Diceros bicornis minor: one gene and its partners. The protein of the gene in region 4 interacts with the protein of the main gene of each other region in a pairwise test. Links are inferred from orthologs where the notes say so. Each region holds a gene or a part of one and is shown on either strand. Other genes may lie near its edges.

Region 1 (7,538 bases), on a different chromosome or scaffold from region 4:
CTCAGGTGCGGGTTTTTTCTCCCATTTCTGAAGGCAGGGACTGGATTCATTCTGCCAAAATTTATCAGCTAGGGCTCTGGGACTTCGAGCAGTTTTTTGCGCTGAGGCCATCAGAGTCTAGTGGAGGAGATCAGCCCTCAGTCCAAGGTGTGGTTCGGGAAGTGCAGGGGTGGCGGAACTCCCCCCAAGGCAGGGGCTCTGTGCTCAGGTGGGCTGGCCTGTGGAGGGAGAGGTCCCGAAAGCTGGGTGGGAGCTACTGAGTGACGTGAGCAGCAAGTTTTTAGAATCACCACCCGCAGAGTATGGGAACTCGACTAGAGTGGCAGTGGGGACCAGGCAGGCCATTGGGATGGTCTGGGCTGGACTAGACTGCCCACGTGGTGAGGGGGTGGCGGAGGTGGGGGGGTGGTGTGAGGGGAGGCTTGTGGCAAGTATTCAGGACATCTTCCCACTGTGCGTGTCCAGAAGAACACTGGGAGAACGTGGCCACTTCTGGAGTGCCCACCAATTCCAGAAAGTTCTGGCAGTCATTCAGACGCGTTCATTCTCCAACCCAGCCTGTGGCACAGCTTCGGGTGTGAGTCCAATGCATGAAAGCCGGGCTGCAAGGGATTTGGGGGTCACAGGGCAAGGCTGGGACGAGGCCCCAAGTGGGTGAGAGACAGGTGTGGGGTCACGCGTCCAGATAGAGCAGTGTGAATGGGGCCTAGCCTTGCCCTTTCCTGTCTCTTTGGAGGGCGAGTGTCTGCCACATTCAGAAGCCAAGGGGACTCCAGGTGTCTTGGTCTGCTCAGACTGTCCCAAGAGAATGCCGCAAACCAGGTGGCTTATTTTCCACAATCCTAGAGGCTGGAGATCCCAGCCCAGGGTGCCAGCAGGGTCGGGTTCTGGTGACGGCTGTCTTTCTGGTTCATAGACAGCTGGTTTTTTGTATCATGTTAGAAAGAACAAGTTCTGGTCTCTGTTTTCTTACAGGGGGGCCCCGTACTTATGACTTCATCTAATCATCATCACCTCCCAAAGCCTCACTCCTGATGGATGCCATCTCATTGGGGCTTACGGTTTTGACATGTGAAATTGGGGGACACAAATGTTCAGCCCATAACACTGGGTCTTTGTTCTCCCGGAAGTCAGCTTCCTTCCCGATGCCTGTATGCAGCACCTGAGCTGCATGGCCAAGCCTCATTAGAGACGGCTGTTGATCTCTGTTCTTAGCCATCTGGGAGCTTTGTGGTGCGCTCACTCCCATGGCCTCTTCCTGGACGTGGTGGAGGACTTGCTCTGACCACATCCTGGCCTGGCCTGGGTTGCCGGTTGCCCCTATAGGAGCTGGCCAGCCTGGGCCACATGGGCACTCTGGTCCCAGCACCAGCCGCTGACCAGCGCGTGTGTGTCTGCAGCCTGGTGCGGCAGTGTGTGGTGATGGGGGCCACCCCCGCGGGCCGCCGCCTGCACACGTCCTCCCGGAGGGCTGACAGCAGCAGAGCCTGGCTCACGCGCGTGCACCGGCAGGCCTATGCACGCCTCTATCCTGTGCTCCTGGTCAAGCAGGACGGCTCCACCATCCACATCCGATACCGGGAGCCTCGACGGATGCTGGCGGTAAGCTTCTCTCCCTAGCGCTCCTTGGGTTGCAGGTCCTAGTGGGCTTGGAACCCCACTGCATGGGGAGGGAGGATGAGCCACGCAGCAGGATTGTTGTGTGAACCAGGATGGGGAGGAGGCGAACCCGGGGCTCACTCCATGCACCGAGATCACACAGCAGCAGGGAGCTGTGGGTTTAAAAAGAACCAAGTCCTGGGAGCATAAGCACAAAAAGGTTCTTAAAGGAGTCAAAGTTCCAGAGGGAGAGAACGCCATAGGCCGCCTAACCCTGACCTGTGCAGTGGAGGAGAACAGGAGGCGTGAGCACATCCCAGTGCCCTCCCTCCCTGCAGATGCCTGTGGACTTGGATGCCCTGTCCCCAGCGGAGAGGCGGGCGAGGTTCCGGAAACAGGAGGCCCAGCTCAGAGAGGAGGAGGAGCAGCCAGAGCTTGCTGATGACTTTGACGTGGAGCGGTACAAGCGGTTTTGGACCAAAAAGTGACCGTGCCTGCAAGCTGCCCAGGCCTGGGACACTTGGGGGGACGTGTCTTTAAATCATGTGTTCATGAAGCCACCTCTGCCTGTCTTTCCTTGTTGTCTGCCCCACCCCCAGCCGTGAGGGGGTTCTCTGCGACTCAGCCAACTAGAATGCTTAGAATTGGGTCAATTTGTGTTTTAGGACGAGGTCCACAGGGCATGTAAGCCATCCACATGGGAGAAACAAGACTGAGGTTATGGGTGCTCCTTCCTGTGTGGGAAGTGCCCACCACCCGAGTTGGCCCCTTGGAGCCTAGAGCCCCCTTGCCCCCAGTGCTGCCCTCAGCCTCGGGGCACAGTGGCTGTGGAAAGTGGGTGGGAAGAGACGGATACCTGGGATCCAAGGACACCCTGCGAAGCCTGCAGCAGGCCTGCCTGTCCCTCCCTGGGCTACCTCAGCCCTACCTGACACAGCGAGAACAGAGGGGCCAGGGGAAGCGCCCAGTCTCTGTGGCTAACTGCCCTTGGTTTGCAGCCCACTGCAGCTGCAGTGAGCCAGGCCTTCCACAGTTCACTAACACTTTTGTGTTCCAGGGGTTGGTTTCACCCTGGCCAGGCTTCCTGCAAGACCCAAGGGGGCAATGCCCGACCTTTCCAAGTGCAGCTGCCCGGGCCCAGGCCTGGGGTTGCTCCTCATCCTGTCCTGGGGCCTCGGGCTCTGGGGCGTTGTGGGACCCTGGCTGTCAGGCTTTTTCTCCTAAATCTGAGAGCCCGTTGCAGACCACCCCATACGGATGGGGGCTAGCGTTCCAGGCATGAGCAGGGAGGCAGGAGCTGGCAGCCTATGGGGGGGGTCACTGCATCTGACTGCAGCTGGTGGGGAAGGATGCTGGGCTGAGCACCCACCTCTGGACTCCTCCTGCAGCCCTCACCCGCTGGTCCACTGCGAGCAGCGGCCAGGTGCAGCTGCACCTGTGTCTGTGCCCTCCAGTCGCTGTGCCCTCCAGTCGTTGCCCTCTTGCCTGCTCAGGGACGTCTCCCCTGCAGTTCTTGCCTCATTCCCACCTGGAAAGCCTTCTTGGAGCCCCCCCCTTTGCTCAGGGTTGGGGCACAGCCGTGGGTGCAGGGGCCACTGTGGGCATCTAGCAGTGGGAGAGATGGAGTACAGCATGGACAGTACGGATTTGTAGCCCAGGGGCAGGATGGGGTTGGCGATGGGAAATTACTAAGGGGACTCATTTGGATGGGGGGTGGTTCTGGCTAAACCCATGTAAGGGGATTGTTGCTGAAACCAGGCTGGGTGGTCATTTGTCCAAGGGGGACAAGGAAGCTGATGAGATACCAAGGGTGAGGATTCTGGGTAAGCTGACAGTAGGGTTCTTGCTGGAAGCCGGGGGAGGCAGAAATGGACCCAGAGCCCAAGGCCTGGTTGGAGGGCTCCGGGGAGCCAGAACAGAGCACTCAAGCAGAGAATCCCATCTGTGCCAGCTCCTTCTAGGTCGTGGGGGCCTCCTGATGCGACCCCCAGCCCCTCCGAGGCCTCCTCCATCTGCTCTCGTCCCTGGTCACCCCACCCGCTTTAGGGAGTTCAAATGCTGTCTGCGCTGAGGACCCCCAATGTGCAAATCCCCGCCACTGACGGCACCCTGCTCCTCCCAGCATCTAGTCCTCGTCGAACATCGCAGGGCTGCCTCCCGAGCCTGCCTCGCCCATCCCGGCCGCCATCACGCCGTGCCCCACACCCTCCTGCCACGCCAGGCTCCTTCCTCCCGTGAAGGGACTCGGTGATGAGTCTGCCTGAGCTGGGACCCCGCAGAAGGCACGCCTGTGGCTTTGGACCTGCTGTCCCATGCTGCGGGACCTTAAGCGGGAGCAGGGGCAGACCTGGAGCACCCATTGTGGACGCCCACCCAGGCGAGCCTGTGCTCTCCGGGCCACACGTGGAAGCCTTTCCCCACCGAGAGGACTCAGTGGTAGGGCATGACACACGTTGGGAGCCCCAGAGCCCCCAAAATGCAGGCGAGGGAGTCAGAGAAGGCGGGGTCAGAGGAGAGCTGGGCGGACGGCCTGTTCTCACTTCCCTCGCCACTGCCCGGGCAACGCCGAGGCAGCGAGTGTGCGCGTGCTCGGGGCGTGCGGGTGACAGCCGTGCGACACCCTGTCCCGGTCCCTCGGAGACCCTGCCCGGCGTCCCGCGGGCCGCAGCCCTGCCGAGGTTTCCCGGGCCGTTATCGCCGGGACGCGCCGGGTCGTCGGTGACGGCAGCGGGGACCCGGGCGACACCGCCCTTCTTGGCACCGCCCGGACATCCACATGCTTGACTTCCCACAACAGCCATCCCGCCGACGAGGCGCTCGGCTCCCGCTTCCGCATCTCTGCACGCGGTCCGGGGCCGGGGCGGGGCAGTACGCAGGCGCGCAGGGCTGGCGCGGGCGTGACGTCACGGCGCGCGACGCGGGAGCGGAAACAGGCGCTGCCGGGGGCGGAGAAGCCCGGGGACCGGGAGCCCCGAGGGCGGTGGGCGGCTTCGCACCATGTTCGGCTCTAGCCGGGGCGGCGTGCGCGGCGGGCAGGACCAGTTCAGCTGGGAGGACGTGAAGACCGACAAGCAAAGGGAGAACTACCTGGGTGAGCGAGGCGCGGGGCCGTGGGCGCGGGGACGCGGGGGCCGTGGATGCGGGGACGCGGGGGCTGTGGGCGCGGGGACGCGGGATCTTTGGGCGCCGGGACTCCGGGGTCGTGGGCGCGGGGGCCGTGAGCGCGCGGACGCGGGGGGCGCGGGGGCCGTGGGCGCGCGGGTGGGTGCCGCGGGGCCTAGGGGCGCGCCGACCCGCGGGCCGAGTCCTCGGCGCTCCGTCCCGCAGGCAACTCGCTGATGGCCCCGGTGGGCCGCTGGCAGAAGGGCCGCGACCTCACCTGGTACGCCAAGGGCCGGGCGGACGGCGCGGGGCTGAGCCGGGAGCAGGAGCTGGCTGCCGTGAGGCAGGCGGAGCAGGAGGCGCTCATGGCGGCGCTGTGAGTGCGCCCGGGGTGAGGGGGGACCTCGGGCGGGCGGCTAGGGAGGGTGGTTGCGGGGCCATGGTGGGGGCGGGGGCCGAGGTGAGGCCCACCGCTCCCTGAAGCTCGCGCGCGCCCCCCGCAGAGGCTACAGGAACGTGAGGAAGCAGCCCACGGGCCTGAGTAAGGAGGTGAGGGTTGGGTCCTCTGGGAGAGGGTGCGGGAGGGGGTGGGGCTGACCCCGCGCTGCTTCTAGCCCTGCCGCCCGCGCTCCCTCACTCCCCACAGGACTTTGTCGAGGTCTGTAAGCGGGAAGGAGGTGACCCCGAGGAGAAGGGAGTGGACCGGCTCTTAGGCCTGGGAAGCTCCAGGTGCGGGGCCAGGGGTCCTCTGGGGCCCCAGGAAGCGCAGCGGAGGCCTGTGGGTCTCACTGTTGCGGGTGGCGGGGTGTGTGTGTGTGTGTTTCACCCTGGGGTCGTTCTCACTTTGGGGGGCGGATGTCTCACTCTGGGTGCATTCTCACCGTGAGGGGGTCTCACCTTGGGGGCGGGTCTCACTCGTGTCCCTGTAGTGGCTCTGCAGGCCGAGTGGCACTGTCCCGAGAAGACAAGGAGGCTGCTAAGCTGGGGCTGTCCGTGTTCACGGTAATCACCCCCAAACAACCGCAATCCCGGAGGGCATCTGGGTCCTTCTTGTTGAGGGTAGGGGGCGGCCTCCCGGCTTCCTGGCTCTGAAAACCGGGGCTGGTTCTCCGCGGTCGGCATCTCAGTGCCTTGCACACCCCCAGAGTGGCTTCCCTCGGCAGCACCACCGCGTGGAGAGCAGTCGGCCAGGGGCCTCCCCGGCCTCGGCCCGGAAGAAACCTCGATCAGAGGAGAAGACGGAGCCGGGGTAAGGGCCTCCCTGGGGAACAGAATGCAGGGTTCTCTCTCTCTGCACTTGGCTGCCTCTTCTGTCAGTGAGGTACCTAGCTCTAGTCCCTTTTTCCTTCTAGAGAGCCCCTTCGGGTTGGGAGTTGGGAATGGTTCCATGACTGTCCTCCAGCACACAGCAGGGGTCAGGCAGCCACACGGTGTGAGAGCTGCCAGGGCAGCAAGGCAGAGGGCCATGGAGGAGGGCAGCCAGACAGGGGACGTTGTAGTCAGGCCTCGGGCCCACCACCGCCTCCTGCTGTCCTCTAGGCCGCAGGAGCTGCATGTGGTGCAGGGCAGGGCTCACTGCCTGGCTGGGAGGGTGTGGGCAAGCTCGGTGGGAGGGAGGGCTGGAAGGGGCCGTGAGACCATTGGGTTGGTGCTGCTGGGCAGAACCCTCTGCCATGACGGGATGCCCGTATCTGCACCGCCCATCACGGCAGCCATTGGCGCAGGTCATACTGAGGAGCTTCACATACTGACCTGAGAGCGACATAAGCACACATGGTCAGTGGCTGTCCTGGAGACTGACATGAAGCTCTGGGCCCTGCCCCCCCGGTGAGCTCCACAGGCGCAGTGGCTCCCGGCACTCTGTACTCCCCACAGCCCCGAGAGCCACAGGAAGAGGAGGAAAGAGAAGAAGAAGAAGAAGAAGAAGGAAAAGAAGAAGCACAAGAAAGAGAAAAGGAGAAAAGAAGAGCAACACAGAGCGGAGGCGGCCTCCTCGCCACCCCCAACTCCCACCGGGTAGGCAAAGCTCTGCCTTGGGGGGCGGGCAGGGTGGGGCAGGCGGCCCTCAGACCTGTGGGCGTCACCTCATCTCCCCAGGCCCCGGCACCGCAGGCATGACTCCGACTCTTCCTCACCGTGCTGCAAGAGGCGGCGACGGCAAGACGGTGACTGAGGCCCAGTGGCTGGGGCCCTGCCCCACCACGCTGCTCTGTGGGCCCTGCCCAGAGGCCCACCCTCAGCGAAGCTTCCTGGCCCAGGAGCTGGAGGGCTGGCATGCAGGGGCCCTGCTGGGAGCTGAGAGGGGCCCAGACCCAGCAGGGGAGGACGTGCCTGCCTGGGAGGTCCAGCTGTCCAAGACCCCTGAGATGCTTAGTTGTAGCTAAACACAGCTACATTTCTATTTTTCTTTCTGTTGACTTACTCTTTGTACTTAAATAAACTTATTTTAAGGAGAAAACATCTCGTATTTAAGGGAAGGTCATTGTCATGTGTCACAGTAGAAGGAGGTGTGAAAACGTGGCGATTGTCTTGGGTTCCAGTGAGACATCTGATGCCCCATTGGGAGGGGGAACTGTCCTGGCGGTTGGCATTCCGGACCTCATGTGGGCCTGGCCCTGAAAGTGACTTCAGGCGCACCGGGAGCCCTGGGTCATCATGTTTGGCCAGCAGGGAGGTCACAGGAGCCAGAAGGTACCCAGCTGCAGGTGGGCGAGCACGGAGAGAGGAGTGGAAGGCTAGGCTGGGCCTTTAGATCATGGTGGGGGGTGGACTTGTACCCGGAACCACCCTTGTCCCCACAAGGCCACCAAGGGACCTCCTGCCCACTGTTCCACAGC
Region 2 (7,281 bases), on a different chromosome or scaffold from region 4:
TATTTTTTAGTATACTTTGTGGAAACTATTTAGCAAAAAGAAGAGAAGATATTGAGCCACTAGTAAATACACAGCTTAGAAATGATGCCTGAATGATTCCTATTAAGAATATTAAGAGGAGGGTCGGCCCGGTGGCACAAGCGGTTAAGTGCGCGCGCTCCGCTGCGGTGACCTGGGGTTCACCGGTTCGGATCCCAGGCGCGCACCAACGCGCTGCTTGGCAAGCCATGCTGTGGCGGCGTCCCATATAAAGTGGAGGAAGATGGGCACGGATGTTAGCCCAGGGCCAGTCTTCCTCAGTAAAAAAAAAAAGAAAAAAGGAGGATTGGCAGATGTTAGCTCAGGGCCCATCTTCCTCACACACACACAAAAAAGAATATTAAGAGTATAATTCACAACATAGTACTATTAAAATCAATCTAAAATGAACTTATATTCATAATATCCAATAATCTTTTGGTGAAAATTAGTAAAAGTGTTTGAATCTCAATAAATGTTCAAGGAAATATATAACACACTAACTTACCTTCAATATGTGTTCCTTATAATGGATGCTGTAACACAGAACTGTCCGAAGTAAACTTGAACTTTTCACCTTTCCACAATGAAATCAGGCAAAATAGGCTACTGAGACACAGACCAAAGATGCAAGTAAATTGCAGTACTCACACTAAACTCTGTCATTAAAAAAATTGGACTATCCTAGAGTGCTTTGCAGCAAATTGGTAACTCCAGCAAACTTTCTACAATTCCTGAATAATCTAACTGTAGGATAAATGGTCTGATTTGTCATTTTGACTATAATATTTGATCACACTGGCACAATGATCTCATTTTTTCAAACTAAAAATTGGCATACAGAAGGACTGCCTCTGTACCTATAAGGATACATGTATACCTAAGGCATCAAAACCCATGCTCTCAACTCTTTTAAATCCAGACCGTATTTCAGCTTACTAAAGCAGGCATCCTCCTTCAAAAACCAAGCCAAGATAAAATCTAACATTTCTTTTCCAAGAGATCATGAGCTGTGTTCAATGAGACCAGTATATGCTTATATGAGTGCAAGGGTGGGGGATTCACCCTAGGCTGAGCAGGCAGGGGTATTGGGAGGAAGGCCATCTGGGCCTGGACCACTTAACCTGCCTCACCTTGGTCTATCACTCTGCTCCAGACCTGCTTTTCCAAACCTCAAACAGACCAAGGTTGTTAGTGCCCTCAGACTTAGGCAGTTGCTGTTCTCTCTTCCTGCCTATCTTTACAGGGATGGCTCGGATCTCAGCTCCAATGAAACTTCCTCAGAGAGGCCTTCACTGATAGCCAATGAAAGTTACCCTCCCACCCCCTTACACTGCCCCTTAGGGTCATGTTCCATTATACCACCCTATTATCAAAGCAACAACCATTATATTACTTTCTTATTTATTTGCTTCCCACATTAGAATGTTAACTTCCAAAAGAGCAGAGATCTTGGGACCTTGTCTATCTTGTTCATAACTGCATCCCCAGGGCCTGAGACATAATAAGTGAATGAATGAATGAATGAACAGGTTTTAAAAATTATTAGGCCAACACCAAATGTGGTGAGGATATAGAATGGCCAGAATTCTCATACACTGCTGAAGAGCATGTAAATTGGTAAAATTACTTTGGAAAATGGGCAGTATCTAGTAAAACTGAACGTATACATATCCTATGACCCACCAATTCCCACAGAATATACCCTACACAAAAACATACATATCATCAAAAACATGAACCAGAATGTTTATAGCAGTACTATACAGCAATGAAACGAAACCAACTACAACTGCATACAACATGGGGAAAAAAATCTCACAAAATAACAATGAGCTAAAGAAATCAGACACCAAAAGCATACACACTATATTGATTCCATTTATATGAAGTTCAAAACCAGGTTAAAGTAACCTATGGTGTTAGAAGTCAGAATAGAAGGTAACCGAGGTGACTAAAAGGGAGCATGGTGGGGAAAAGGGGCGCTTCTGGGGTGAGGTCATGTGGTTTCTTGATCTGGATGCTGGTTACATGGGTATGTTCTCTTTAAGAAAACTCACTGATGATTTATGATTTGTGCACTTTTCTGTATGTATGTTATTTTTCAATAAAAAGTTCAAAAAATTAATCAGGAGTCCTTCTGAAGAGGCAGCATAAGAAAATCATAGTAGATGTCAGGCCTCTTTGGACTGTCACCCCAGTTTCTCACCCTCAATCTACCACCAGCAGAGAGAATCCCCAAGAGGGGTGATGAATGGGGTAGAATGGCAGGCCCGACCAACTACAGGCTCTCTTAGTTACAGATACCAGAAATCTGGAACATACACACCATCCAGTCCAGGGGCCACACCCAAGGAAAACAGATAAGGGAATTGCGGTGAAAATAATGATAGCAGATACTTATTGAGCCAATATGACAGAAGGTGGAGCCAAAATACATGATATATTTATCTCATTTAATCCTCACAATAATCCTAGAACAGCACTAGTACACACTAAGCGCATAGTAGGTACTCATAATAAATATTTGCTGAATGAAAGGTAGATGCTATCATCACTTCCAGATGATAACTTGTCCCAATGTTATACAGGACGGCACAGCCTTAATTTAAACCCTGATTCCAATGACTGTGCTCTTAACCACTTCACATTACAGCACCTTGTGTGCAAGTAGATGCTAACATATGACTGAGAGAGCTTGCTTCTGGTGTGCTTATTCAGCAAGTCAGGGTTCCCAGTGACTGAGAGGTCAAATGGGCCTCAATTTCCTTACCCATAAATGGGAATAATAATTGAATCTTCCTTTTATTCAACCAATATTTATTGATCACCAATTGTGCGCCAGGCACTATTCTAGGATTACTGAGGACTAAGCGAGAAAATGCAAAATGGTAAATTCATTCCCCTACTCCCTTAATCCCTTGCATTTATTTGTAAGGGATAGTGGTTCTACTTTTTTTTCCCCCTTACAAATTCGATGAATGTTATGAAACATATACAACTCACACAAAATTTTGCATTCAATTTCAGGAGTTTCATAAACCTTCTAAAGTCCACATATTGCCCTCTGTTACAGTTAAAAACTGTTTGCAAAGGGACTTAGTAAAACTATGCTCTCACATCAGAAACCTCCATCGGCATTCACAAGAACCCAATACAGCAGAGAAGAGGGTACCATTTTTATAAACAACTAAAATCGAAATCTGACATATCTACTCATTGCAGTTTCACAGACAGAAGCCCGGGATAAGAATCTCGGATCTCATGCCTCTAAGTCCAGTGCTTTTTCCAACTGTCAAAATAGAAGGACTTTCTATTCTAGGGTTAGACTAGAGGAGGTAGAAGAGATGCTATTAGACTTCTCTCCTGAAAAGGTGGATGAATGAGAGCCCAGCAGTTAAGAGCAGCTCATCTGGAAAAAGGAGCCCAGGCCGCAGAGTCACGAAAAGCGACCTCAGCAAGTCTCTCTCTCTGCGCACTTGCTACAACCGTAAAATGGGATGATAACTTCTGCGGCTCCGACTTCCCTGTGGTGCTTGCTACACTACAGCTCAAAGGAGGAAAAGATGCGAATGCTTCACAAACGCAATGCAGACAGAAGGGATGGTTAAGACCATTATTGAGAGTCTCAGGGCGCTGAGGACACGAATGTTCAGGCTTCTCTGCTGTTGGCTTCCGGCTTCCCCACCGCAAACTCGCAGTCCCTGGAGGAGCGGGAAGCCTTTGAGAAATAGGGATGTGGAAGAGTCGTGCTCCTAATGGGCTTAGAATAGAGCCTGGCATTCAACAGGCGCTTAGTAAATATCTGCTGATTGAATCAACGACTGAGTGAGTCTACAGAGAACAACTTCCTCCGTCCCCGCGGCTCAGGTCGCCGCCCTCCAGCCCGCGGGACACCACACTCACCGGGCCCGGAAGCTTCCTGGAAGTAGGTGCGAACCTTCTGCTTCCCACCGTCTCCGCTTCAAGAGCTCGTGGAGCTGCAGCAACTCTAACCCACCCCAGCTGGGCTCCTCTTAGGGCGCCGTGCGCACGCCCGAGCCGTAGCGAGCTGCTCGCCAGGGATGGAAAGAAGGTGGAAAAAAGAAAATTTCGCGCCAAACGTTCCGTCATCACCCGCCCCGCCCACTGGGAGGGGACGTATGACGTGAGTCGGCCAACGTGCGGTGGCCATCATTGATTCGGTCGCCGACGCCGTTCGCGGAAGGAAGTTCGTTACGCTGCAGCATTTCCGGTTTCCAGACGGTCGCCTAAGCTGTGTAGTGAGACTTCCTCCACCTTTCTCCATCCGTCTCGGGTTTTCTGTAACCGGGATGTGACGCGTTCAAGGACCCGACGGAAATAGAACTGAAGGCGTTCTAAAATGGCGAATAGAACAGTGAAGGATGCGCATAGCATCCACGGCACCAACCCTCAGTATCTGGTGGAGAAGATCATTCGGACGCGAATCTATGAGTCCAAGTACTGGAAAGAGGAGTGCTTTGGCCTTACGGGTGAGCGGGAGCGCGCGACGCCCCTCGGCCGACTTGTGGCCCACTTCGGCTGACTGGGCGCGGGTAGACTTGCCCCGTGGGGGTGAGACTGGAGGGAAATTTGTCAGTCATTCGGAAAAATCTGAGCGCCTACTATGTGCCTAGACTTGTGTTGTTCTTTGGGGGACACAGATGAATCTGATAGGGCCTTATTCGGAAAGGTGTCTCGGTTGGGTTCTTTGAGTCATTCCATGTTTAATGATAACCTGCTGGGTTCCAAACAGTGTTAAGTTCAGAGACCCTGAAGGTCTTAAAGGAACGTCAACATACCGGAAACCAAATTCATGATCTTACTATCCCTAAATCTGGACCATTTGCAGTATATCCACGTTCGGGTCCTAATGTAAATGTCGGTTTTCAAAAACGTCTTCCAGCTAGTCTTTCAATCTTTGAATTCTGGCTCTTCTAGTAGCAGTGTTACCCCAGTGAACCATGGCTTCCTTTATCTTAAAACGAGTGTAATACCCACCTCAAAGGGTTGTTTTAAGGATTAAATACAATAATGTATTAAAAGTGTATGGTATGGTCACAAATATATATTAATAAAAAGTACTCAGTAATCAGTGGTAGTGATGGTGCTAGTTGTTACCACTGTTAACTGCTACTGTGCTGTTACTGCTGCTGCCACCACCGCTAGCTGTGTGTCTGTCCATGGACAAGTCATATTGTTTCTCTGAGTCGCCATTAAATTTTGAAGTCATATAAGGTTTACTTTTGGCCGTTTTCACATTCCATAGTTCTCTCCTTGGAAGATCTCCTCCATACCACAGTTACATCCTATACGTAGATACCTTCAAATTTCTCTCTCCAACCCAGATCTCCAACCCTGAGATCTAAATCTCTAATTCCAGGAATACCAACTCAGTATGTCCAAAAGTGAACTCATGACCTCTTTTCCCCCCAGTACCAGGTTACCTTCCCGTGTTCTGTATTTTCATTGCATTCTGCCTCTTCTTTCAACTACTCGTCACACTTTGAATTATTTTTCAATGCTTTCTGGCTTGCTAGACTATAAACTCCTTAAGAGCAGTAATCGTGTCCCTCTTCTTTATTCCTCTACCTGTATCTCTAGTACCTAGCACCTAGCTATAAGTTGTCAACTGTAATTTTGAATGAATTAATATAGAATTTATCCTAAAGGAACTTGAAGTCTGATTTATAAAATGATTTCCCATTAATGGTAGCTAACATCTATTATTTGCTATGTGACAGGTAGGTATTAACATTTATTTGTATTGTCTCATTTGATTCTCACTGTAGCCCTTAAACTTTGTACCTTTATTATTCAAATTTGAACTGACAGACTCAAAGGGAGGTGAAATGACTTGCCCTAGTTCACACTGCTAATGTTTGATTTTGACAAAAACGTTGAAAGGTTATTATCCCCATTCTGTAGATGAGAAGAGGTTTGCTCAAGGTTATGTAACTATTGAGGAGTTTTTTGTTGTTATTGTTTTGTTTCTTTTAGCTCCTAATCTGGCCATTTTTCCCCTAACATGATGATGACAAGCAGGGACTCTGAAGTTAGACTGCTTAGATTTGAATCCAGGCCCTGCTACTTTCTGGCTGTGGACCTGGAGCAAGTCACTTAACCTTTCTTAGCCTTCATTTGCCTTAGCTAAAAGCAGAAGCAGTGCTAGAATTTACCTCATGGCTTGCTGTGAAGATTAAATGAGAAAATATGAAATGCTTAGCAGAATACCTGGCATATAGTAATCCTTAAGTGTATACTAGCTGCTATCATTATTATTATTATTACTATTATTGTTAATACACACTTGTTCTCCTAATCTTAAACTGTTGATGAGTATTCAGGAGGACCAAACCTTGAACTAACTTCTCTCCACTTCAAACCGGGAAAAGCTTAGCCCTAATATGTCTGAGATGCCACTCTATTTGTTTTTGTTTTTGTTTTTTTAGCTGAACTTGTAGTCGATAAAGCCATGGAGTTAAGGTTTGTGGGTGGTGTCTATGGTGGCAACATAAAGCCAACTCCCTTTCTGTGTTTGACCTTGAAGATGCTTCAAATTCAACCCGAGAAGGATATCATTGTAGAGTTTATCAAAAATGAAGATTTCAAGTGAGTGAAATGTTGACTAGCTAATATAAAAGCTTCAATTTTGGTGGTCCAGAATTTGGCCTTGCTTAAGAGGAGTGAAAACAATGTGTCTCCTTTGCACTGAGAGTTCTACTCTAGGATCTTGCTCTTGAGCTCTTGAGTTTGTATTTTGTCTGTTCTGGTTGTATTGATCTTGTCCTTTACTTTCTCCGTCCCGGTAATTTTTCCTACCAAAAAGTATTTCACAAACTCACTTAACATATTTTAAGCAGAAGTGAGTGCCTAACATGTTGGGAGCACTGGATACTCAACAGTGAAGAAAACAACAGAGTGTGGTAGATAAAAGTGAAAACTTTGATGTTAGATGTAGATTCATGTCCAGACTCTGTTACTTATTAACTGTGACCTTGGAGAAGTTACTTAATTTTCTAAGCCTTACTTTCTTTACCTGTAAAATGGAGACAGTAATACCAACTCAGGCTTGTTGTGAGGAATAAAGAAGATAGTACGGTAAATCTCATAACACAGTGCCTGGTACATGGTAAACACCTCAAAAATGTCAGCTGCTCTTATTATTTTATTATCCATTCTTTTTTTTTTGTGAGGAAGATCAGCCCTGAGCCAACATCCATGCTAATCCTCCCCTTTTTGCTGAGGAAGACTGGCTCTGAG
Region 3 (5,407 bases), on a different chromosome or scaffold from region 4:
TGCTATAAGTCACTTAAAACCAGCTTGTATCATGTGGCTTGTAATTGGCACTCTGATGAATGCATTTCTCCCATAATCTCTTCTACCTTTCCATGTTGGAGAGGAAGATAGTGCATCAAGACCAAGACCTAAATAGGGTGATGGTGCACAGCCATAGTTGGGGCACATGGGGAGACTCAGAAGGATAAATTACTTTGATATTTTCCAAGTCAAGTTTAATGATCTCATACTGGCCAATTCTTCCCCAAGTCTGCCTAGCTCAGGAACCCCTTTTTGAACAAAAAGATCAAAGGAAACATACTTTTCAGTTTTCAAAATTTTATTGAGACGTTGGGGAGAAACAGCCAACATATACATTCCTCATTTTGTCATGATTGGCATTTTATCCACCCGATAGGCTCTCTCTGGCTTTGATCTGACTTCAGGTCTCCTTGGCAGTCCCCCTTCTGTTGTCCTCTCCCTGCCTGGCGTCGCTTGAATTCCACCAGGGCAGAGCCTGCTGCTGGGGTCACACGTGGGAGCGGTAATTGCGATTGGCTGTGGGGGAAAGACATGTTTGCAACAGGGACACCAGTTAGAACATACCCTTTCATCCTCTTCCCGCCCAAATGTGAATTTAACTGGAAATGAAATTCTCAGGCTGAGATTTCAGGGTGCTACGAGAGCTAACTCCAAGAAAGAGGGCCCCTGGGCAACAGGTTCCCCAATTTGACCCCTCTCCTGCTCATCCCTCACTCACCATCATCACCCCGTTTTCTACTCTTCAGGCTGCCCTTCCGGTATTTTCTTTTGCCGCCACCTCTCTTGACTCCCTTGTAGGGAGCTCGGTTCTTGCCCCTCCTCATGCCATGACTCTTTAATTTGCGGCTGGTCGACATTGTAATTTCTGCCAAAATGGGGGGCTTTGCAGGGCCCGGAGGCCGTGGGCCTGGGTATTTAAGGCTTTAGCCATTGTGACTGTGAAGGGGCGTGGCTCAGCAGGTGGGCGGGGCTCCATTGTGATGTCACCAGCCTTTGTTACACTTTGGTCATATATGTGAAATAAGGTTGCCCCTTTAGTGCAGCTCAAGGCTACTTTCAATTTTGAGGTCCTTTTTATGTTAAATGAGGCTTTCCAGACAGGAAAGTTTATTGAGTGACTAAATTCCAGCCCTGTGCCAGGCCTCTGAGGAGTACAAGAGACCATTAGAATGCATCTCCTGCCTGTAGATGTAATGTAATGGTTGTTGAGTGTGTGTATATGCATGTGTGTTTGAGTTTCTTTTATAGCATTAGGAGATAACAAATGTATGTCTACAAGAACTTGACTCTAGGAAATCCAATTCAACATGGTCAAAATATAAATATTCCTTCTCTTTCATCTAAATCAGAATTTTTCAACCTCAGCACTGCTGACACTCTGGGCTAAGTACTTTTGTGGGACTGTCCTGTGCATTGTAGGATGTTTGGCAGCATCCTTGGCCTCTACCCATTAGTTGCTAGTAGATCCCCTGCAGATGTGACAACCGAAAATGTTTCCAAACATTGCCTTGGAGGGAGACAATGTTCTCACCCTTGGTTAGAACCATTGGCTTAACCACTTAAAAAATTCAGTAAGCAAATATTTATTGATCTCATAATACATGCCATGCACTTAGGTGCTAGGAAAATAGTGGATATGAACAGACATAAACTCTGTGTTCATGGGGGCTTTCAACCTAGTTAGGGAGAAAGCCATTAATCAGACATCTACACAAACTCAGTAAATAATTACTTCCCAATGTGGTGCAGGATAATTACATCCTAACATGGTGCAGGATAAGGTTGGAGAGAGAGGCAGAGACCAGACCAGGCTCAAGTACGTTGGGAAACTGTGGAACAATGTTTAAGAGGATGATGTGATGGGATTAGAGGCTGCTGGGTGGAGGATGGGTTTATGGGGAAGAGAAATGAATAGGAGAGGCTATTGCCAATAGTACTGATTCAGGAGAGAGATATTTGACAGTGTCTTAGGCGTGGGCCAGGGAGAGTGTTGATTGGGATATAGAGATGTAGACAGGAGACAAAGATGTGCTGGTGGATTGGATTTAGTTGGTGAGAGCAGAGAGTGTCAAAGGCGTGGCTTTTGTTGCAGTGTAATGAAGCTATCTGGATGCTAGTGCCACTCACTAGGATAAAGGCCAGGCATGGGGACAGCGACGAGCCTGCATTTGGTCTAAGACATATCAGGTTTGAGGTGCCTTTGAGATTTCTAAATAGAGATACTGAGTGATTGTTGGGTATATGGGTCTGGAGATCAGAGCAGAAGTCTGAGCTGAAGATAATCCACCTTTCCCAACCTCCCTGATGTTGGATTCATCATCTAACCTTTTCTTCTTCCTCCTTTATACTTTCTATTGAGTCCTTTTGAAACAAGTTTTAGTGAACTTGATAACTATTTCTTCTTTCTGTCCCTCCCATCATCCTCATTCAAGAACCAAGCACCTTGCATGTGGGAAGTTCTTAGCAAAAGTTTGTTGAAAAGAAGAGAGAATGTGGTTCAAACCCCACTCTCTGTATTTCTGATGTCTATAGATAAGATTTTGAAACCCAGACTCCTTGAGGAGCCATCATAAGTGAGACACTTTCCATTTTCCTGTGTCCAGGCAGGTCTCTCTGGAGACCTTCTGTTGAGACTGTTATTCACCCAGAGAGGGAGGGGGTCTGTGAATCAGGCTGCTACCATGACTCCTTGGATCCTGGGAACTTTTCTGTCCACTCCAGCCTAGAGGTTCCTCCTACAAGCAAGCTCCGTGGAAGCAGGAATTTAAAAATTGTGTTCACTGCTGTATATTCCCAGGACATTGAACAGTCCTGCCACAGAGTAGGAGCCCAATCAGAATTTGTGGACTGTTTGTTGAATAAATAAAAAGTCCTTCTATTTTTCTGACTATCCTATTCCACTCCATTTTTTCCCACCTCTCCAAGGAAAATATCCCCGATTTTTCAATTTTTCACTGTCCTTTGAAAGTTGTCCTAAGTCCATGGGTAATATTGTCCTCAAAGTCTAAACAGTCAGCCCTAACTATGTGAAAGGCTGTCTTTTGTGCCTACATTGTTGTGTCACGTTGGTGAGTCTGATTTCAACAGGAAACAATGTGTCTTGGCTCTGGCCCTGACTGTACTATGAGCATCACTTCTCCGGACTCAGGTCTCTTACTTTGTAAATAAGCTGGTCGGGTTAGGTGATCTCTGAGCTGATCTGACTTTTGCGGTACCTCCTTGTAGTTAGGGCTGTAGTTTTTACTTCTACTGCGTTTCCCACAGGTACTGACACGGTCTATAGTAGGTGGTCAATAAACATTTGTTCACTCTAGCTCCTAGCTACTTTGGTGTTTTGAGGACAGTTTAACACGGAGTGGCTTTGTATACCAAGTGAGAGCATTTCTACATAAGGAAGGGTTTTTCTAGATAAGGGAAGCATTTCTAGATAAAAGAACATTGTCCCCGTAACAGGCCCTCTGGTGCTCCATGTTGGCCTCTCATGCCTGAGCCTGCTGGCTAAAACGTTCACAGAGGAACTGGCCTCTTTAGTTTGAGAGGCATTTTCTGGATGGTCCCGGAGACTGGATAATATTTCTCTCCCCAATCCCTCCCATCCCCAAAAGACCCACTCTGCCAAGGAGAAGCTGAGATCACAGGTTAGAAGGCAGCCAGACTTGAGAGCTGATGAACCAAATAAACAAAGAAGTCCCCTTTGCCTAGGGTTAAGGAGAAGGTCTGGTTTCATACACCATGCTGAGAAACTCAAGCAGCAGAAAGCCCAGTGTCAGGGGAGGCAATTCGCAGGCCGGTCGGGAGTGGGGTTGTGGGGGTGTTTGGGTTGGCTTCTGGGTCAGACCTCCTGGAGTGAGGACACAGCAGGGTTGAGCATTAGGCACTGCTGCCTGTCTCTGTTTCTCTTTCCATGTCTGCTCCAGTGTTGTTTGAGCCAATGGCAATTTAGATAGAGCACAATGAGTTCCCTCCTCACCCCCAGTGGACCCGGAGCTGGCCTTTTCTTGAGAACTGTCCGTTAATCCAGTCTGCTGACCGTCTCTTCACCCTTTCTTCTGTACTCTCTTTTTTATTTTTCTTTTTGGATGAAGAAACTGAGGTGCAGAGCGACTATATGAGCTAATTCAAATAACCCCGCACAGGAGTAGCAGAGACCCTCCAGTAAACCTGTTTCCTCCGTTCTATGGCTTCCTGGTGGATCTTAGCTTTTGTTTTTCTTGATGAAAGGAAATAGATATTTTCTGATAGCTACTGGGACATAAAGAGAGAACTTTATGAATTCTTGTCTTTTTTAGAAGAAGAGCTATCAGCTCCTTCTCTTTTGGGGCTGAGTGCTATCTTGCCTGGAGACAGGGTGGATGGACAGGATGGTGTCTTTATCTCCTAGAAGGATGGCCAAAGTGGCATTGCAGGGAAGGGCTTGGAGGCCTGCGCTCCCACTGGTCCCTTTCTTAGGTTAGGAAGGGGCAGGCTTTGGGTGTCTAGTTGGGTCCCATCTTGCCTCTCCAATTCAAACTCACTGCACTAATTTTCCTGGGGAGTCCAAGGGCTGGACTTCCCAGGGCTGAGTCTTCCCAGCAGGCCAGGAATTGGGGCTTATTAAGAGGGAACATGGAAAAGTTGCTGACAGTCCTCACACATGTCGATGACTCAGACTGAATCCCTCTCTGAAACCTAAGTCTCTCCAGATGTTGACCTCAGCTGGGAAGTGGGGACCTTCTACTCTGTTCACGTGCACACCCTGTCTTCTCTGCTGTTATTGCTGCTGCTGCTGTCCAGACAGGCAAGGGGGGCTCAGGGACAGGCTGGTGGGGGCGAGAGCTGCAGAGAGAGGGGTCTCACCAAGGGGCAGAGCTCTCTGAGCTCAGGACTCATCTGGTGTCTCCAGTAGGGAATAAAGAGAAACAAAGAGCCCAAGGCCAAGGGGTGGTTTTCAGAGAAAAAGGAAGAAGTGACCTCAACTCCATTCACCTCTTTCTAATCAGTTCTGGGAAACAAGGGAGCATCTTGGTTCTGAGGATGGTCTGGGTTTTGCCTGAAGATTTGTGGGGGTTCTCTCCCATTTTTCCTCCAGACTGGTCTCCTATGCTTTCTGACTGCATTCCTAAACCGTCTTTCCATAAGCAATTCCTGTTTTCTAGGAAGAAAGAGATTGGGCTGCTAAAAGGCGGGAGACTCATCACGTGAGTGGTGGTCCTGGGAGGCTCCTCAGGAACCATCTGGCCCCTCTCCTTTGGGAGGTCAAGACGCTTGTCTAAGGGCTTCACCCAGGCAGCGGAAGAACCATGGCTGGACCCAAGATTGCTGATTCCCATGCTGAAGACTGCCCACCACTCCATACTGCCTTCTGTACTTGACTTAAAAATAGATCTGGCCTTGACTCCCCACTCTA
Region 4 (7,940 bases):
AGGCTATTCTCTGAACTGCTGACCTTCTCCTACCCCAAGTTGCCTGTGTATTTAGATGCTCCTCCTGTGCCTCTAGCCAAGGAGCTGGCTGGAGCGAGCAGCTTCCGCCAGGAAATTACAAAATTAGACCCAGGCCCAGAGTAATGAGGGTGGCACAAGCTGCGTTTATGGGAGAGTGCACATTTGCAAGGGGAATGCAGTCATGTTCTGGGTTTGAATCCCAGTTCCACGACCTACCACGTGTGTGATCTTGGGCCCACAGCACACCTCTCAGTTTCCTTATGTCACAGCACCCCAACTGTCACTTTGTGTATGTTTTGGGGTTAAAAAGAGGTGAGCGATGGAAAGCCCTTTGCCCCTTGCCTAACACATTGTAGGCATTGGATGTGAGAAGAAACTGAGTCAGGAAGGAGGAGCAAGACAATGGTTGTAATTTGCATCAGAATCACCTGGCAAGGTAAGTCACATGCCCATTCCTGGACCCACTCCCAGAGTCAGACGCAGCAAGGCTGGGTGGGCCCCTGGGATCTGTATTTTTAACAAGTGTCCCCTGCCCAGAGGTCTCTGCTGCAGGGGGCTGGGGCCACTGCACTTGGAGAAATAGAGGATCCAAGGGGAAGGAGTGGGGTCTCTCCAGACATTAGCTTCTCTCTCACTGGAAGTTTCTATAGTAACCGTCTCAGGGAGAGTCCAACCTGGACTTGTGTTCCAGAAAGGATGCAGGTAGTTTCTGTGTTTGACCTTCAATCACATTTAGAAGAGCAATGGATACATTTTTCTCACTTGGATAATGCAATAATCTAGTAACGTGAGTATTAAAATAGTTCAAATTTAGTTAGCACTTCTCATGAGCCAGGCTCTGTGCGAGTACTTTATCTGTGCTAATAAACACAAAGTGAAGTCATTATCCCCATCTCACAGGTGAGGAAACTGAGGCCCAGAGAGGTAAATTGGCTTGCCCAAGGTCACATGGCCTAAAAGTAGGGATTTGAGTCCAGGCAGGCTGGATTCCACAGCCCATGCGATAAGCTGTGCCCCCTTCAGGATATCATCACTTTCGGGTATCCTGAGGACATTAGAGGTGAGGGTCTCCAGCCGGCGTCCATGCTTCCAGTCAAAGGCTGAGGCACTGGGTGGGAATATGTGACGGACAAGTGTGAGGGAGTGGGGGACATCAGCCAGTGATGGGTCTCTGACTCACTAGGGCCCCCAGCTGCCACCTGGGAAATCTATGACTCAGCTGTGGGGATGGGAGACTCCTGGAGTTCAGGTGGCTTCGTTCCGTTCTCAGCACAGGCCTGGCCTTACCACTGGGCTGTGTGGCCTTGGGCAAGGTGCGTCACTCTCTGAATTGTGCTGTGAAGGACAGCTGAGACGGGGTTATGCCCCGTGCCCAGCAGGAGCTCCCCCTGTTGTAATCACTCGGTAGTGTGGAGGCAGCTGTGGTGACGTACCCTGGGTTTTGCCACAGCCAGATTCCACGCAGAGGGTAGGAGTGCACAGCTGGTGCAGCTCCCCACCCAGCAACCATCCCCGCTTCTTCCAGGAAGGGCATCTCCATTTTCACTTGAACAGATGACTTGTGCTTCTGTAACTTGTAGCTGGGCTGATTCCAAGAGGAAGTCAGAAACTTACATCTATTGAGTGCCAGTAGTGTCCCAGGCACTGTACATGATGAAATCATTTAATCGTCAGGACAAGCCTGTAAAGCAGGCTTGTAGATGTGGAAACTGTAGCTCAGACTGATAGCCCAGCCCAGCCCATCTTTTGACCAGGAGTGAGCCTTTCAGTTTATAACTAAGAGTGACTTTTCTTGGAGGGGCATTTATTCATTCAATAAATATTTAATGAGAGCCGACCGTGTGCTAGGCATGGTGCTAGACCTTAGGGATAAGATCCCCACCGACAAGCCCCCACCCTCATGGCGTGCCCACTCCAGATGGCACAGAGGTTTCTCACAGGTCAAATCCAGGTGGCAGCAGCTGCCTGTCACATTATGAGGATTCTGAGCCAGCTCTGGGCTTGGCAGGGTGCTGTCAGGGAGTTTCTGCGTGTATGCTGCATGTTGGATACCCGTGTTTTAGACTTTTGAAGACTACTCATACAAATGCATATAACAAAGCAGAAATACATCCTGGTCAGAGCACAAGTTCCAATTTTTATTTTGAAAATAGCCACTGTAGATCTAATTAGTAGGCCCTGCCCTCAAGGAACTTAGGGTCTAATTGGTAGCCTAAGGTCCACAGGAACAGGACAGCCTGACCCAGAGCTCAGAGCTGGGGCAGGCCACACAGATGCGGATGATCAGGGAGGCTTCCTGGAAGAGGAGCTCAGTGGACTTGGCTAGGTGGAGTGGGGGCAGGGGGAAGGCATTTCAGGAGAAAGCAGCAGCACAGGCAAAGGTACGGAAGTGTGAAGTGGGTGTGAGGTGGAGGTGGGAGAAGAGAGGATTCTGGCCTGGCTGGGGTAAGGTGTTGGGGGAATGAAGGTGAAAAGGTAATAACAGGGGTGGACCACGGAGGCCTCAGTGTCAGGCCTGACCCTGCCCCTCCCCCTCCACCCCCTTTCACTTGGGAACCACGGAAGACTCCGAGCAAGGGCATACCCAATGAGATATTTCTTGGTGCCTGGAATAAGGGGAGAAGTTAGAAATGGGAGGTGGCTATAACACCATGGAATGAAAAAGGGCCCCTGCACGCAGGTGGGGGTTAGGGGACCTGGCTTCCAGTCCCTCGTCTATGCTGACGTGCTGTGTGGCCACAGGCAAGGCCCTTACCCTTCTGGGCTGGTCTCCTTCTCGGTCTTCTCTTAACGGCCCTTTCAGACCATGACTGAGTGAACTCAGGTGTGTGTGTGGGGGGTCACTTGGCTCAGTTAGGGTCTCCATTTTCTACTTTTCTTTGGCCTTGAAGACCTGGACTAAGGCGAGTCCACCTATGGTTTACCTCAAGCTTCAGGCTCCTGTGGCTCAGCCCTAGGCTGTGTCCACGCCTGAGCTTCCAGAAGCATTTGTCTCACAGAAGAGAAAACATGACCTTGGAGCCACTTTCTGGCTGTGTACTTTGAGATGGACTTGGCCTCTCTACTTACCTCACAGGCATGATACACACCATGGAGATAGTGCCTTTAAAGCTGCCGGGCACACAGGCAGCACCTCTGCGCTCAGCGGGCAGTAAGTGCTCAACTGGTGGCGACTGCCTTTCTTGCTGTTGCTCCTATCGGGGCTCCTGTGTGGGACTCTCGGCTGTAAACTTCTCAGAGGCTGGCAGTGTCTCCTCCATGGGGCTGAACACCAGCTGGGCCCCCAGGCAGGATCTGACACCCAAGGCTAGTGCACCTCTGCCCAGCTAGTCACGAGGACTGTGACGTGAGTCTGCCTGGCCTGGTGAGCAGCCCCACCCTGGGTGGGGGCCCTGCGTCATTCCTCATGGGACTGCCCAGCACATGGGTCCCAGGCCCTCCCCAGGCACCATGTGTGACAGGCACCTCTGTCCAACCAAACCCACCAGGACCTAAACTAAATTCCTCCCCCTTTTCTGTTTAATTTTATATGGTTCTTTTTGGGATAGGTAATACATTCAAATATTTCAAACTTTAAAAGGCACCAAAAAGTGTGCTATAAAAATAAACCCCCTCCCAACTCAGCACACAGCCCCCTTAGTTCCCCTTTCTGGAGACAACCAATCTAAATTCCTTTTTTTTTTTTTTTTTTTTAAAGATTTTATTTATTCATTTTTTTCCCCCCAAAGCCCCAGTAGATAGTTGTATGCCATAGGTTCACATCCTTCTAGTTGTTGTACGTGGGACTCGGCCTCGGGTTGGACAGAGAAGTAGTGCCTTGGGGCGTGCCCGGGATCCGAACCCGGGCCGACAGCATCAGAGCGCGCGCACTTAACCGCCAAGCCACGGAGCCGGCCCTAAATTCCTTTTTTTTTATGGTGAGGAAGATTGTCCCTGAGCTAACATCTGTGCCAATCTTCCTCCATTTTGCACATGGGACACTGCCACAGCATGGCTTGATGAAGCCGTGTGTATGTCCACGCCTAGGATCCAAACCCTGCGAACCCCAGGCTGCTGAAGCGGGGTGCACGAACTCAACCACTACGCCACAGGGCCAGCCCCCTAAATTCCTCTTTAAAACAATTAAACTTAATTTGCTGCTCCTCCCTTAAAAAAATCGTAAGTATTCAAAGCAAAAACTAACTTCAAAACAAAACAAAACAAAATCCCACCACCTTGGAATCTACACAAAAGTACAAACCAAAAATCACACCCACAATCCCACCACCATCCAGATTTTCTGCACTTTAGTATATTTCCTTCCAGACTGTTTTCAGTACTCATCCACTTTTCAAAAACGAAAACCAAACCCAAAATCAGAACCGCAATTCTGATTTTTCAATATCTTGCAGTATCTCAGGAACATTTCCTCATGGTGTGTTTCCTTAAGCGACTTTAACAGCTTGGTGAACTTCCATAGAAACTGGCTTATTGGGCCAGACCCTAGTGATGGGCATTTGGGATTTCCAGATTCCCCTATTATAAGCCACACAGCGATGGGCCCTCATTGCCTACTTGTTTATTTTCTTGTAACAAGTTCCTAGAAGCAGCAATACTGGGTCACAAGGTTTGGCCATTTTTTAAGACCCTGGATACCCATCAAACTCCCCTCACATTCAGCAGGACCAGGTGTCCAATCCAAATCCACTTTCCTCAAGGCCAAGTCTTGTTCACACCCCTCCCAGCAGCAGCTGTGTGTGCCCCCAACCCACCTCCACTTCTAGAGTAAGGCCAAAGTCCTCCTCCAGGCCTGGCCACCTGCCTTGTTTACCTGGCCCATCCCAGTCCCAGGTGAGTCAGCTGAGCAGGGTAGGCGCCACCCTTCCCAGAGCAGGAACTCAGCTGGGACAAGGGCCACCACTTTCCAGGGAGAGGAACAGACACTCTGGGCAGTGGCGGGAGAAGGACGTGCAGCAGCAGCTGGCCTGCAGGTAAGAGCTGGGCTGGGCCCGTCGTGGCTGGGACAGGGAGAAGCGAGACTTGCTCTTACCTGCCTCATTCCCACCCTGGCCCGCCCCTTCTGGGACTTCCAGGCAGTTTCTTCTCAAGGTGCTTCACTCTGGGAGGGAAGTATGACTGGGGTCTCCTCTTCTGACTCCAGCCCTGGGCCAGGAGTGAGGGCTGAGTGACCTTTATCCAAACATCACGAGGGCCCCGGCTCCTTCTGACTGCGTATGACAGTGCTCAAGGAGGTCGGACCCCCACTTTGCTCCTTGAAGTAGGCCTTGGAAGGCCAGGCAAAGAGCCAATCCTCAGCTTCTGTTACTCACTTCTTTGCCTGAAGCCATTTCTACCAACAACGTCCTACCATGGCAGGGAAAATCTGCTGGGGAACTGGGCCGGTGGCCTGACCTCTCTGAGAACTGGTTTCCTCATTTGGAGACTGGAAATATCCCCACGCAATCAGAACTGAATGAGATAATGACCTAAGACATCAATATGTGCCCTCCACACAGCAGTTTCAGAATATGGTGCTTAAAATGAGGCTGCTGTGTGCCAGGCCGGCACCACACTGGCTGCTTCCCACCCAGTGGCCCAAACTAGTAACAATTCTAACACCACCATGGCTTCTCACCTAGGCTCCCTGCGTCCACCCTTGCCCCTCTAGTCTGCTCTCCAAACATCAGCAGAGGGGGCCTGTTAAAATGGAAGTTGGACCACGCCACCCTGCTGCTCAAAATTCTCCAGTGGCTCACATCTCACTAGAGTAAATGCCAAGTCCTCACCATGCCCCAAAGCCCCTACAGGATCGGGCCCTCACACCACTTCTCCCACCTCCTCTCCGGCTACTCCCCTCTGAACACTGACTTAGTCTCACTGGTCACAACAGGCACTCCCACCACAGGGCGGCCACAGCGGCTAAGCCCCAGCCTGAATGCTCTTCCCTACCACTTTACTCAAAAGTCACTCTCCACCCACCTTCCCCGCCAACAGTGAGACTCTTCTGGACCTCCTGACAGTCTCTATCCCCCATCCTGCTCTATCTTTCTCCCCATCACTTCCCACCATCTAACACAGCATACCCACTTATTTATCTACCTAGAAAGTGACACTCCGCAAGGACAGATTTTTCTTTTGTTCACTGCCTTATTACTGGTACCTAGAACAGTACTGGGACTTGGACACTCAGTACATGTACTGAATAAATGAACAATAGCTAACGATTACTGCATGCCCTTTACGTGCTAGGTACTGTGCTGGGTGCTTTCCAAACACATCTGACCTCTTTTTAAGAATCTTTTAATCTCCACAGTAACTCTGTGATGCAAGTATTGTTACCCATATCACAAAGGAAGAAATGACACTCAAAAGGGACTTGTCCATGCTTGCTCTCCCGTCAGAGGCAGCAGTCTGAACGCGGTACTGCCTGCCTCCAACATCCTTGCTCCTGCCCTGGCCCTCCTGGGCCTGGACTGGGAGCCTCTGCATTCCTTGAAGTCCACAGCTCTTCTCCAGCAGGCAGTACAGCCCTGGGGGGAGGGGGTACATGCTGGTGGCCTAGCAGCAGCCTCTTCCTTCCCACCCCTCCATACCCCGGGGCTAATGTGGCCTTCTAGGAGCTACTCCTCTGACACTCTAACCCATGCCTCCCTCCTGCACAGTCTCCTGAAGGATGGATGAGGTGTCCACAGCAACAAGTGGGAGTCCCAGAGTTTCAGCTCTCTGGAACAAAGTGTTCTGAAGGAGTGTTCTTATTCCAAAGATGGGGGCTGCCAGCCCCTGCTGATCTCTGAGGACCCGACTGCTGCTTTGTTGTGGGTGTTGGTTGTTATTGCTTATAATACCAAAGAGTACAGAAGCTCAGGGATGGAAATTCTGCAAAGCACAGCGGGAGAGGAAAATGCCTCTGGGATAGATGGGTTAGATGGCTTCTTTTCCTTTCAGAGGAGCCAATTAATTGCCAGAAGCCAACAGCACTGAAATTGAGCAAACTCTTCCACTGTCAGATTGTAGGAGCCAACCTTTCAATCTACCTCATTGGGGCAGTGGTTTTTCTCTTTCTAGGCCCAGGGTTTTCCTTTAAAGGACTTTTTTGGGCTTTCCTCTGCCCTCTGTGTCTGCTTTTGCACTCCTTTAAGAAACAGGGGCCGGCCTCGTGGCTTAGCGGTTAAGTGCGTGTGCTCCATACTGGCGGCCCGGGTTTGGATCCGGGGCGCACACCGACGCACCGCTTGTCCGGCCATGCTGAGGCGGCGTCCCACATACAGCAACTAGAAGGATGTGCAACTATGACATACAACTGTCTACTGGGGCTTTGGGGAGAAAAAGAGGAAAAAAAGGAGGACTGGCAATAGATGTTAGCTCAGGGCTGATCTTCCTCACCAAAAAAAAAAGAAACAATAACGCCTGCTGTATGCCAGGCACTGGGTGCAGCACTGGGGATTCAGAAATGAGCCACATTCCTGACCAGAGAGGGAGACAGGCAAGAAATACAACACAGTGGAAATCCAACCCAGGAAATGCAGGGGGCCTTGATCACAGGAGGTGCTTAATAAACATTAGTGGAATGAAGGATCAACAGGTGAATATGAGATTCTGTGGTCTAGAAATGGGAGGCTTGCCTAACTGTGTGTGTGTGGATGTGGGGATTTGGGGGAAAGCTTAGAATTGAAGGAAGAGCAGTTCACCAGATGAACAAGGGGGAAGGAGAGGGCATTCAAGACAGAGGCATCTGCAAAAGCACGTAGGCGTGAACTAGCAGGGTGAGTTCTGGGATCAGCAGTGTGGAATGTATTAAATGCAGCGTGAGTGTGGAAGAGTGAGGAGGTGAGATTGGAGATGGTACCAGGAGTCGGAGATTTGAATGCCAAGTTGAAGTTTGAGATTTATCCTGAGGGCAAGAGCTGGGTATGGCTTCAAGAGCAGGGTAACTCCCAGAC

What was found. The genes of interacting proteins can lie anywhere in the genome.
Region 1: the proteins of SDCBP2 (region 4) and C1H1orf35 interact in binary tests that used the Homo sapiens proteins (3 or more experiments, as listed by UniProt). The two-hybrid records come from large-scale screens. The link is inferred for Diceros bicornis minor from reciprocal best matches to the Homo sapiens genes SDCBP2 and C1orf35.
Region 2: the proteins of SDCBP2 (region 4) and PRPF38A interact in binary tests that used the Homo sapiens proteins (3 or more experiments, as listed by UniProt). The two-hybrid records come from large-scale screens. The link is inferred for Diceros bicornis minor from reciprocal best matches to the Homo sapiens genes SDCBP2 and PRPF38A.
Region 3: the proteins of SDCBP2 (region 4) and TNP1 interact in binary tests that used the Homo sapiens proteins (3 or more experiments, as listed by UniProt). The two-hybrid records come from large-scale screens. The link is inferred for Diceros bicornis minor from reciprocal best matches to the Homo sapiens genes SDCBP2 and TNP1.

What each region holds. Positions count from the first base shown.
Region 1 is NC_080740.1:360,011-367,548, reverse strand, and holds C1H1orf35 (multiple myeloma tumor-associated protein 2), read left to right. Parts: upstream 1-4,530; 5' UTR 4,531-4,596; coding exon 4,597-4,690; intron 4,691-4,926; coding exon 4,927-5,077; intron 5,078-5,204; coding exon 5,205-5,250; intron 5,251-5,347; coding exon 5,348-5,430; intron 5,431-5,630; coding exon 5,631-5,703; intron 5,704-5,846; coding exon 5,847-5,950; intron 5,951-6,576; coding exon 6,577-6,717; intron 6,718-6,798; coding exon 6,799-6,874; 3' UTR 6,875-7,161; downstream 7,162-7,538. Other genes in the region: MRPL55 (large ribosomal subunit protein mL55), read left to right, coding at 1,348-1,602, 1,938-2,087.
Region 2 is NC_080752.1:14,733,755-14,741,035, forward strand, and holds the start of PRPF38A (pre-mRNA-splicing factor 38A), read left to right. Parts: upstream 1-4,273; 5' UTR 4,274-4,381; coding exon 4,382-4,511; intron 4,512-6,470; coding exon 6,471-6,630; intron 6,631-7,281. UniProt on the Homo sapiens protein: Involved in pre-mRNA splicing as a component of the spliceosome.
Region 3 is NC_080776.1:7,490,594-7,496,000, forward strand, and holds TNP1 (spermatid nuclear transition protein 1), read right to left. Parts: upstream 879-5,407; coding exon 740-878; intron 538-739; coding exon 509-537; downstream 1-508. UniProt on the Homo sapiens protein: Plays a key role in the replacement of histones to protamine in the elongating spermatids of mammals.
Region 4 is NC_080758.1:29,372,498-29,380,437, reverse strand, and holds the start of SDCBP2 (syntenin-2), read left to right. Parts: upstream 1-4,933; 5' UTR 4,934-4,991; intron 4,992-7,940.